Linked DNA regions of Drosophila melanogaster. The protein of the gene in region 2 interacts with the protein of the main gene of each other region in a pairwise test. Each region holds a gene or a part of one and is shown on either strand. Other genes may lie near its edges.

Region 1 (5,701 bases), on a different chromosome or scaffold from region 2:
GAAAATATCAATTTCAATATTGAAACTTTTTTCGTCTTTTCTTTTTTTTTTTAGCACTCGATGGAGGCATTGAAGTGGCAAGAGTTACCCCGTCCACCATCCAGACTCACCGATAATTTTTCGATATCCCCCCTTTTTTCGATCAGTGTACGGTTCGCTGGGCAGAGAACAAGCTTTTGGGTCAATTTCAAACGCGGTGCGAAGCAAGGATCGTCGTTTGAGCCTCGTAAAAAACGCCAAGGTGGGTAAAAAAGGATAAAAGAAGAGAAAGATCAAGAAAGAGGTGAGCAAAGACGAGGAGAAGGAGGAGGCGCACGAATGAGCAACAACTGTCGCTCGCACGCGTCTCAAGTGACACGCGAGTACTGAGTACATTAACATATCCCTCTCTTTCGCTGCACATCGAGCTATTTCTTTCTATTCCATTTTTAAACTAAAGTCTTGGGACAAAATAACTGCTTTGTAAATTTTTTTTTTTTTTTTTTGAGGATAATATGTCCACCGTTAACCTAATATTTTATAAGCTTTCTGATTTTTAAATAACGTCATCGAAATGTTATATTTTGAGAATAGCCTTCCTTGTATAACTCTTTTTTTTATTTTTCTCAGCGTGGGTTCTTCATAAGAGAGCGAGAGAGAAAGCGAGAATGCCAATGGGTGTTTTTTTTTTTTTTGTAGAGGAGACTGTGTGTGGGTTGTCCGGCTGCCCAGCCAGCAGATTAAATTAAATTTTGATTTTGATTTCTTCAGTTTCATTTGTGTTTTTATTTATCTGCGTGTGTGTGGCACGGCCTGGCTTGTGGCTCAAGTCAAGGCAATTTCGGTTTGGAAAAATGACAGCGGGAAGTCAAAACAGAAGGGGGTCACTTGGAGGGAGAAATCTCCGCTTTTGGTTATAGTTTAATTTGGTAATTGATTTTGGCACAAGTCAAAAAACACATATAAATGTGAAAATTGTCCATGAAATTGGGGAAGCTTTGATTGAAACAAAATTGCTTAGGGGCTTATAATTTCTCGTTAACAAAAAAAAAACTGAATTGAGACCGGGCAATTATTAAAATAACTAAAATTACTCGGCATTTTAGTTATCCAAAAATAGTGGAAACTCATTTTTATCATCCTTTGGGATTTCGTAAAAAATCTATAATAAAAACACACACACATCTTTTGTAGCAAACTCAACATTCTGACCTTTTGTTCTGATTTCCATGCTCTTTCAAATACATACATATATATTTGTGCACGTTCTCGGCCTTTCTAAATTATATTACTGCAAATCAATTGCAAACGCACGATTACGGCTATTTAATAGTAATTTGTTATAATTTGCATATCGTTTAAAAGCACTTAACGAGAGGAAAAAAGCAAAACTAAAGCTAGGCAACAAAATCAATTAGATTGTTGCATGCAAAACAAGGTTGACGGCACGCGGGGGGCGTGGCAGTCAAGGGTATTCTGTTGACAGTTTTGACTGGGAAATATGTTGAAAATAAGCGAACACTTGGCTAATCTGGCCAATAAGTTGAGGGGGGGGGGGGGGGATTGAAAAGGAAAAAACAGAAAGAGAGACATATACAGGTAGAGGAAGAAAGAGAGAGTGAGAGACAAAACCTAAGACACCTGCCTCAGACTCGAACTCACCTGTATTTTTCGAGTCTTCGCCTATCAAGCCAGCATTTTCCCCGTTCGAGCCGCACAATTTACGGTGGTTGTTGGTGCGGTTGTTGTTGGCCGTTATCTATTAGCCAACAGCCACAACAAAAACGACAAAGACAACAGGAAAAACAACCACGCTTAGCACTCAATATATGATATATCCCGGTCGCGGGGAAAATCGTAAATTTAAAGTGGTGCGAACTCAGGGGTCAGATGGATAGGTGTAAATTGGTTTCGAGATCCCCTTCAGTGTATAAACAAAAGTCCACCGTTTGGGTTTCAAATTAATACCAACCGAATCAAATTTATCAGCTAACATTTATTGGTGTGCATACTATGAAATAATTTCTATTCTCTATAGCCATAAAAGCCCTTTTCGTTTAATAAAATAGCTAATACAGCTGAACTTTGGTAAAGTTTATAAATAGAACTGGTTTTAATGGCAATTTGTATACTATAATTACTAGCTTCCTTTATTTCCTTTAATATTCTATGCAAATTTACTAGAGCTTAAATACATATATATTAGCTAGATTTTGATTGCTTTTAATTTGTACGTCAGGAACACGTATAAAAAAGCCTTGATTGGTATTTTGAAACATTTATATCTCGCATTATATCTTGTCTTTCTTTTTTCTTGCTATTTTGAATATCAGTTGTTCATTAGATTTCACTTTCCCATCCAGTCCAGTCCCTGAAATATCACAAATATCATATTGCTATATATATATATATATATATTCTCTATATGTATCCCCGCTTTGCTCTTCTCATATTACTTGATATTGCAATAAAGTGTCTATATACATATACATATATTCCGCACTTGGTGCTATTCTTCAAGATCCATCTGAATCTGTATGTCTGTCTCATGAACTAGTCTCTTCCTTTAGTTAGCAACTTAATTATTTCTGCTATATATATATATATATACTTTATATATTCCCGATGTAGCCTTATCCTTGAAATACAGCTTAAACCATATTGCTATACAGATTCATTGTATGTTTATGATATATGATCAGCGACTTACCGCAATCATCGCTGTCGCTGTCGTCGATTGTGCTGGCTTGATCGCCGCTAATGCTGCTGCCGGGTCCTCCGAGCAACATGTTGCCGTTGCCACTGCCATTGTTGTTGTTGCTGCTGCTGCTGTTGCCGCTGATGATGTTGCTGTTGGCACTAGCACTGTTGTTGTTGTTGTTGTTGTTGTTACTGGCACTGCTGCTGTTGTTGTTATTGTTGTTGTTATTGCCACCGTTACCGCCCAATTGTTGCAGCATCAGCGGTGACCGGGATCGCTCATCGTGCATGGGATGATGCAGATGCGGATGGTGCTGCTGGTGGCTCAGGTGGCTTAAGTGGCTCAAGTGCTGGGCAGGATCACCGGTCAGCCCGTGGCCATGCCGATGCAGTGCCTCCAATCGTTCCCTCTCAAGCTGCAGATGATGCGGGTGGGGATGTTGCTGTTGCTGCTGTTGCTGTTGCTGCTGCTGCAGCACGGCGTAGTGGGCGGGCGGAAAGTGGGCGAGCAGATGGGGCGGCATGGGGTGGTGGGCATAGGGATTGTTGCCAGGCGGCGAATGTCTCTCCCTATAGTGTTCCCGCTCCCGCTCCCTCTCCCTTTCCCGTTCAAAGCGCAGCAACTGCTGCTGTTGCACGATGTACTGTTGCAGGGCAGCCTGCTGATGTTGCTGCTGCTGCTGCTGCTGCTGGTGATGATGGTGTTGTTGCTGCTGCTGGTGATGGTGGTGATGCTGGGCGACCAGCGATTGCTCCCGCTCCGAGTCCGTCGGACTGCCACGCCCACCGCCGGAAGAGGCGGCTGCCAAGGCGGCCGCCGCTGCTGCTGCCGCCGCCGATGCGGCCGCGGCTCCTGCCAAAATATCGGTGATCATAAAGCGGGATCGCGTCGCCGTTGTGGCCGTGGCTGTCGTCGTGTTGCTGCCGACGGCCGGGGAAGCTGGACGCGGCATACCGCCGCCGACGGCAGCGGGATGATGAGCGGTGGCACTCGGTGCACTGCCAACGGGAGCTGCCGTTGTTGCGGACATTTCCGGTGGCATTGTGGTCATGTGTGGTTAGCCGACGACTCCGCTGCTGCACCTGCACTTTGCACCGAAAAAAAACAAACAGCTATGTATGTATGTATGGGTGACGCGAGTTTTTAGCACTTCTTCAGTTAATTGTTGGTAGCTGCTCGCACTTATTTCTTAAACTTGACAAGTTCTTGAACTCCGCTTTCGATTGCTCTTGCGTTGGTTAATGTTTTCTTGGCCCAACTGGGTTTTTAACGCAAATGTCGCTGAGGTGCGCACACTTTGTGATGTTCAATAGCGGAGCAACAACCGCTCGCCTTTGGCTTTCGACCGAAACTGAAACTTGCTGCCAGCAACAGCAACTGGCAGCAGCAGCAGCAACAACAGCAGCAGCGGCAACAGCAGCAACAACAAGAAGGCAGCAAAAACCAGTTGAGCCACCGCTTCCCATCAGCTGCCACCTGTCGTCGTCTCTTTTTCGCTCATTGACCTGGCCAAGTGGCGGTGTGGTGAGTTTCCCTCTCTGTCGCCCCGCGACTGCCTCTCGCTCGCACCCACGGCTGCCCACATTTATTGCCCGCACTTATTGGTCGTAATTGGCAGCAATTGACATTCATTAGGCTTCAATCAGCGGGACTCAAGTTGGCGGGTGTGGTGACTTTCCGCCGGCAATGGCCGCACGTCTAACGGTTATTTTTATGGCACGTGGTGGAGTTGGCTGTTTCGAACTACAACCGCACAAAAAGTATTGCAATTAACTTCATATCCTTAAATAAATAGGGTTTATTAAGTCTTGTCAATTTATATAAAAAGTTATTTGTACTTATTTGATTTCTATAAATCTGAACAAAAACGTGTTCGTTATCTTTGAGGGTTAAATATAGTCTTAGGGGTCAGTTGGTTATTTCATATTATTTTAGCTGCTTTCAAACAAAATTTGAACAGTGTTAATGGTAAACTTTTATTATAATAGCGAGTATTATTAAAAAATATGTAGCCATGCATCTTTAATATACTAATAACTTGTTATCTAACTTTCCAACTAAATATAGTTTGTACAGGAATGACAGAACATTTATGCAATATGCCTCCAGCAGTAGCAAAATCATACTGTTTTAGAAGGTTTCCCTGTTCAATACGACTTCCCATAAACTTTTTATGGCAGCTTGAAACTCAACACGATTATGGCAGCAGGGCAGCTGCCGCCTTTGCTTTTGCTTCTAATGTTGCTTTTGCTGTTGTATCTGATGGACAGATATCCGGATGGCAAGATGGATGGATGGGATGCTGTCAACCCTGTTTTGTGGCCAGGCCACGCCCCCTTAAACTGGTTTGTGCGAGCGAGAGGCAGCCGGCACGACATCTGTCTGTCTCGCTTTGGCCCAAGGGCTGGCCGCCTGTGGCTCGCCTCGGGCCCTCTCGCTCTGCGTACTTTGTTGTTGGTGTCTTTTGTTATTTTTGCGCTTGTTAACACTTTTTGTTTGGCATTTAAACAGTAAATTGGCAGCAGTTAAATGCTGCACGCTTTCCTCTCTGTCGCACGCGATAGTGCCCTCTCTTTCCACTCACTTCTGGTTTACTTCTTGTATCGATGTCAATTTGCTGCCTAATGTGCAAGTGAATGGGTCTCAGGGGGGGGGTGGCTATCCAAGAGGGGGCTGTATACCACTGGGGGTTCCTACCACCTCATTCCTGTGGACTAACAAGCGTGCTCCGGTGGGCAGGAGCTACTCGAGGAGGCAGTCTTTGGCGCCTGGAGGCGGATGCTCCCGCTGCCACATGTTTATTGTATAGTTAGCTTTTCAAAATGGCCTCACGGCAGCAATTGTCGGGTATTACTGGCCATTGGTATGTATCCGAGTTCCTGTCGCCAAACGTTTCCAGGAATAGAGTATCGTAATCATAGATATATCCCAAGCATTTACGACCTGACAAACGATCGGGCTGGAGCAGGAAAACGAAGACGTGACCGGGATCATTGGGTACAGTTTGTATTGCCTCTGAAT
Region 2 (6,400 bases):
CGATGATGATGTTGATTGTAGTGACTTCTTTATGTCTGAGGATGACTTGGCACCTCCTAGAAAACCTGGACGTCCGCCCAGGCGAACAAGACCAGGACAGGTTTTCAAGGTTAGTACGTAGTATATTTCACTTAAGCTGAAATTCATTCCACTTAACGGCGTCATTCAGTTCAAAGTTTCGTTTATTCGGAGCAATCCCCGTGTGCTGCATTTGATCCAAGCGTACAAAGAGCATCCCTGCCTGTGGAACCCTTCCGATGAACACTACCAGGACGAGCCTGCACGAAGCATGGCCTACGAGGCGATAATGGAACGCATGGACCGCAAGGCCAATGTTCTCTTCACCGTGGAAGAACTGAAGAAAACGCTCGAGCAACTGCACGTGCAGTACACGCTGGCTTTGGAGACAAAACAAAGGGGAAAGCTTGTTGGACTTGCAGCGCGTTACTTTGCCAAGTGCGAGTTCCTCAGTGTGGCGCCTGTTGTAACGCCAAGGGAGAACGAGGAGGACAACGACTTGACTGCAATTAAGGTAATAACTAGCCCACTATAATGTAGCTCTTTTCTGACCAAAAATCCTTTTTTCAGCTTAATTTTAAGGAGGAAAACCTGATAACCACCTCATTCATAGAGACCTATGCCAACTATCCCGTGCTGTATAATCAAGCGTTGCCAGACTTTGGCTCAATAGAGATACGTGCAGATGCCTTCAAAAGAATGGCAAAGGAATTCCAGCCAGTGGTGAAGGCCAACGAAACGGACGTTTACATTGCGGTCAACAAGCTGCGCCGTTGGCTTTACGATGCCATTCGTCGCCTCAAATCCAAGGAACTAATTCAGAAGTGCAGCAAGCAAGAGGTTCAGTATCTGCAAATGTGCAGCTTCTTGCCCGCCAAGGGTTCCGAAAGTCAGGTGCTGTACTGTGACTACTGCGATAAACGTTTCCACGGCGACTACAACCTACGGGTGCACATCGTCAAGGCGCACGAGGTGGGCGACCTACCGTACCTCTGCTCGTTCTGCCCGAGGCGCTTCGACCGCCACGTAGACATGGACCGTCACAAGCTGCGTTCCCACTTCGAACGCAAGTTGAAGTGCCAGTACTGCGAAAAATCGTTCGCCGTGGATACCGACCTAAAGGTGCACACACTAATCCACACGGGCGAGCGGCCTCACGTCTGTGACATCTGCGGCAAGACATTCCGGCTCAAGCTACTCCTGGACCACCACGTCAACGGAGTTCACCTGAACATTAGACCCTACAGCTGCAATATGTGCACCAAAACCTTCCGCAAGAAGTTCGAGCTGGCCAACCATATCAAAGGACATCTGAATATCCGTGATAAGAAGTGCGAGTACTGTGATGCTACGTTCTATGACCATTCTTCGCTTTCCAGACATCGCCGCAGCCACAGATCGGAATGAACTCTCGCCTTGAGGGACATTTTTAGAAACTGCTTTATTTTTTGATAACGAGAATCAGTAAGCTTCATTTGATGTAAATCAAGAATAAACTTACGTTAGAGTAGTGATAATAACAAGCGTGTTGTTAAGCACTTACGGCTTTTGTGTATTTGATAAGAACATGTGTATGATAATCATATGCACAAGCTTTTCCTTTTTCATACTTTCCTTTTCAAAATTTGGTTTAAGGAATGTATTATTCATAAAAAAAAGAAGAAGCCGGAAAAATAAGTTCGTTTTAAGATAAATTTGTATAACCGTTACTTGTAGAGGAGATATTAGAATAACATATGATTTTTTGGTTCTGGCTCTAGATCTAGAGCTGGCTTGAGGCTCTCCCGAGTTTTTGTTCAAAAGTCAGAGAGCGGAGAGCTCTAGAGCTAGCAGCTCTATTATTATTATTTTTGATCAAATGACGTGTACAAAATTTTATATATATTCATTTTTAACAATGTATTTATATTTCTTTTATGAAATATATTTTTTTAAATGTATTTTCCTTTTTGCCAAATTTATATTTTTAATTACAATAGTTATAATAACGATTTAAGACTTTATTTAGTTTATTAGCTTAAATAATGATGAAAATAATTTTTATACGGTACAAGATACTGCTCATAGACCCTTGTTGAAGTATGTCGTCAGTGCAATTTTAAATATTTTTAATTATAAGCAAAAATAAATAAGCGGTATTTAATTAATAACAACTCTTCTTAAAAGAATAGTCAAGGCATTAAATTTTAAATAACTCTGTAGTAGATCGTATTGCAACAAGCTTTGACCAAAACTTTAAATATGTATGTATGTACCTTCGTTTCTGAGATCAAAATTGATTTCGAGACGAAAGTTTTCTAGCACAAGTATGCTCATATACACTTTCTCGTTTGTTGTTTTAACACACACAAGGAAGTACATTCTATTTTAAGAAATTTACGCTCTCCATTTTACGCGTGCGGAGTGAGATCAATTTTGGCCGTCACCAAAAAAGTAACTGCATAGTTGAAAACCAATGTAATGGCCGTTACGCACCTTAATATTCTAGTGTCTTTAAAAAAAGTGTATACTACAATATATTCGATGAAAGGTGTGTAACATGCAGAAGGAAACGTTTCCGACAATATTAAGTATATATATTCTCGATAAGGACCAATAGCCGAGTCGGTCTGTCCCTGTCCGTCTGTCCGTATGAACTACTTGTATTTCCACTGGCTAAGTAAGGAGTATTTGATTGTCGGGGAATTCGACTCTTGTTCCGAATGGGAATAAGTACCAGAATCAGTCAACTAAAAGTAGTGTTTTTATTCCAGCTTAAAATGAAATAGTTTAAAATATATTTAAAAATTTATAATTGATTTAAAAGTTGATTTAACACAACTAATACTCATGTTATAGCAAGATTTAAATTTAAGCTGTATAGTATATATAATTATTTGTCTACATATAAAATATTTTCTAAAATTGAGATGATTTCGTTTCAATGGAATTTCCGCGGGTATCTTCCCAACACTGACCATCCGGTGCTTATCGATACCGATAAATGGCGTTGTTGTTGTGCTATTTGGCATTGTATCTTATTTGTTTGTAAGCAAATCATGGTGGTTTGCGGGAACATTTTGGCCAGGAACAACTTCGAGCACTTTGTTCTGGCGTGTGCTCACCAAAATGACTGCTACGTGGAGATGGAGTTCAAGCGGTGGCGAGAGTTCATCGTGCACGTCAAGGAGCACCTGGAAGCAAATCCAAGCATGCAGCAAGAGCTCACTACTTCCGAAGTCATTTCGTCAGCCAAATGCGAGGAGGAGGTCTCGCCAGCCAAGGTGTTCATAGTGGAGGAGCCTCCGGAAAATTGCCTGGCTGAAGACATGTTCGTTGACGTGCCACCTTCATCAGAGAACGACGAGAGCACCAGCCCGGTGGAGGAGGAGGAGGAAGAAGACGACGAGGTGGACTCCTCCTCGATGACAGTTGACTGCGAATTGGGCACCAGAAACTCCACACACTTTGCTCCTTTAACCAAAGTAAGCAACTGACTACACCAGCAACAAAAACCAACAAATTAAAGCAGACGTTTTGCATCCCGGCAGTTCAATCCTACGTTTTACCGACGCAGTCCTCGGATCACACAGTTCATTGAACTGTATAAGCAGCAGACATGCCTCTGGGATCCAGCGGATGAGTCGTACAGGGACAAGGAGAAACGCGCAAATGCCTATGAGGAGTTGCTGGAGCAATTAAAGGCGACCGTCAATCTTCACCTAACGGCCTATAAGCTGAAGAAGTGCATCACCAGCCTACACGCGCAGTATGCGTCGATCTCGCGGCAGAAGAAAACTCAGAAACTAACCAAGGTTCCACTGTACTACCATGGAAAGTACAGCTTTCTGGCAGAGCGCGGTAGTCTGGAGGATGCGGACAGCGATGATGTCGACGGCGATGGCAAAATAAAGGTGAGTCCGAGTGACAAACAGCTTTCTAAGCCACTCTAATGCGTTCCCCACGACAGCTGGTGTTCACAGAGGAGAATCAACTGACCACACAGTTCATTGATTTGTACTCCAAGTTTCCCCAACTGTACGATCCCGCGCACAAGCACTTCTGCAATCTAAACGTACGAAAGTCATCGCTCATAGAGATCACTGACCTGCTGACTTCGGAGTTTTCGTTGGGCCTGGTCACCCACTACGATGTCTACGACAGTATTCAGAGCATGCGCCAATGGTATTCGCGACGGATCAAAACCCTCACAGACGTCCAATGTGTGGGTCTCTCGCTGGCCGAGAAGCAGTACATCGAGCGCTGCAATAGCTTTATGCCCACTAAATCATTCCGACAGAAGCTTAAATGTGAAGTCTGCGAGCACTCCTTTAGCACAGATCACGCCCTGCAAGCACATCAGTTCCGGGATCATAAGATGGGCGATGGAGGCTGGTTTCGCTGCACGCTTTGCGAGCTGAACTTCGACCGAAAGTGTCACCTGCAGCAGCACAGCCAGCGTGTGCACATGGACAAGAGCTTTGTCTGCGAGATCTGCAGCAGGAGCTTTGCCTTTGGAAATCAACTGGCTATCCACAAACGCACCCATGACGAGAAGCACGTCGCCAAGCCATTTGTCTGCGAGTTCTGCGGCAAGTGTTTTAAGCAAAAAATCCAAATGACAACGCACGTAACTGCGGTTCACACCAAGATCCGAGCCTTCAAGTGCGACATGTGCCCCAAGGACTTCCTGACCAAGCGCGACCTCAAGGACCACGTAAAGGCGCACCTGAACATCCGCGACAAGGTCTGCGAGGTCTGTCAGAAGGCCTTCACCAATGCCAACGCCTTAGTCAAGCATCGCCACATCCACAAGGAGAAGACCCTGCAATGTTCGCTCTGCACGACGCGCTTCTCGGAGCGAGTTAGTCTTGGCGTCCACATGCGACGCACCCACAAGATCCTCAAGAGCTCTCTGTCGTCAAGCGACGCACTCTTTACAAAGACATTCCCTCAGCCTTGAGACATTTCCAAACCATGACAAGTATTTACATTTGTTAATAACCAGAAAATATGGCTATAGTGCCAAAAAACATGAATTTTTTAATGTTCTTAATGTATTATTACTCCTAAATATTTTTTAGTATTGAAACAAGAGATTTTACAATATATTTGTCCAAGCTTGCAAAAATGAAAACAAAAATGTTTAAAATGATTTCTATTATTCTATTCTATTATTCGACATATTTGAATTGTTCGATTTTTAGATAATCCATCTGAATTTTCTTAATAAAGACTACACTGAGCACTATGCATTTGTATGCCTTTGTGATATAGTAACTTGAAAACACAAAAAAGCACTGAATTTTGAAATTGAAGGTGTAATAATACTTATTTTTATATCTAATTTTGGGTTCTATTGGCGTAGCAATTGAGCATATCAGGAGTACATTTTGCCTGCTAGCCAGCAGAGGTTCCTTTGTCTGCCGTTAGAGAAATTTGTCCTACTATGTCAAATGTTAGAATTTATAGCATTTTTTTATATTTATTTCATTAACTTCGGGTAATCAAAATTTTCGAAGTTATCAGCTCACCTATTCTTGCGCTGTGCAGCACTGGCCAACAGCTGTTCGTGTTTTGGTTTTCCGCGACGTGCTCGGTGTTACGTGCTCTGCACCAAGATTACAGACCTGGAGAGGAGAAATGAGCGGACTCCTTCCGAAGTTGTGGCGCCAATGTGAAGCGGGGCTAGTGCGCCGTATCAGCCAGGCACTGATTGGACCCGGCGCCAGTCAGAGCCGGTGGACAGGGACCCGTCTCCTGGCCACCAGTGCGGATAAAAATCCGGCCCCGGGGCTGCGGGAGCTGCCCCACTGCAATGTGGGCACCATTGGTCACGTTGACCATGGTAAAACGACCCTGACCGCCGCCATTACCAGAATCCAGTCACAGAAGGGTCTGGCGGAGTACCTGTCCTACGACCAGATTGATCGGGCGCCCGAGGAGAAGGCGCGTGGCATAACTATAAATGCTTGCCATATTGGGTATTCCACTACAGAACGCACCTACGCTCACACGGATTGCCCGGGTCATGCGGACTACATAAAGGTAGCTCAGCCAAAAGAACCAACCAATGTTCCACCAATTTAACGAAACTTTCTATCTGATCTACAGAACATGATCTCGGGCGCCTCCCAAATGGATGGCGCCATTCTAGTGGTGGCTGCCACCGATGGTCAAATGCCCCAGACTCGCGAGCACCTTCTTCTGGCAAAACAAGTGGGCATCCAGCGCATCATAGTGTTTATAAACAAGGCCGATTTGGTGGACCAGGAGGTGCTGGAACTGGTCGAGATCGAGATGCGTGAGATGCTAAGTGATTTCGGCTTTGATGGCGTGAATAGCCCGGTAATTTGTGGCTCAGCGCTGCTGGCCCTTCGCGAAGATAAATCGGAGTTCGGGG

The links. Proteins that work in one complex are often made in the same cells at the same time.
Region 1: the proteins of az2 (region 2) and B-H2 interact in a two-hybrid assay, tested with the Drosophila melanogaster proteins (one large-scale study listed by BioGRID).

Annotation. Positions count from the first base shown.
Region 1 is NC_004354.4:17,312,900-17,318,600, reverse strand, and holds the start of B-H2 (BarH2), read right to left. Parts: upstream 4,021-5,701; 5' UTR 3,732-4,020; coding exon 2,690-3,731; intron 1-2,689. UniProt on the Drosophila melanogaster protein: B-H1 and B-H2 are regulated by members of the wg signaling pathway; wg and dpp. B-H1 and B-H2 are coexpressed and functionally required in R1 and R6 receptor cells and primary pigment cells for normal eye development.
Region 2 is NT_033778.4:7,509,352-7,515,751, reverse strand, and holds az2 (az2), read left to right. Parts: upstream 1-3,002; 5' UTR 3,003-3,056; coding exon 3,057-3,482; intron 3,483-3,548; coding exon 3,549-3,911; intron 3,912-3,967; coding exon 3,968-4,960; 3' UTR 4,961-5,130; downstream 5,131-6,400. Other genes in the region: CG1603 (uncharacterized protein), read left to right, coding at 1-109, 170-532, 589-1,425; mEFTu2 (mitochondrial translation elongation factor Tu 2), read left to right, coding at 5,641-6,045, 6,112-6,400.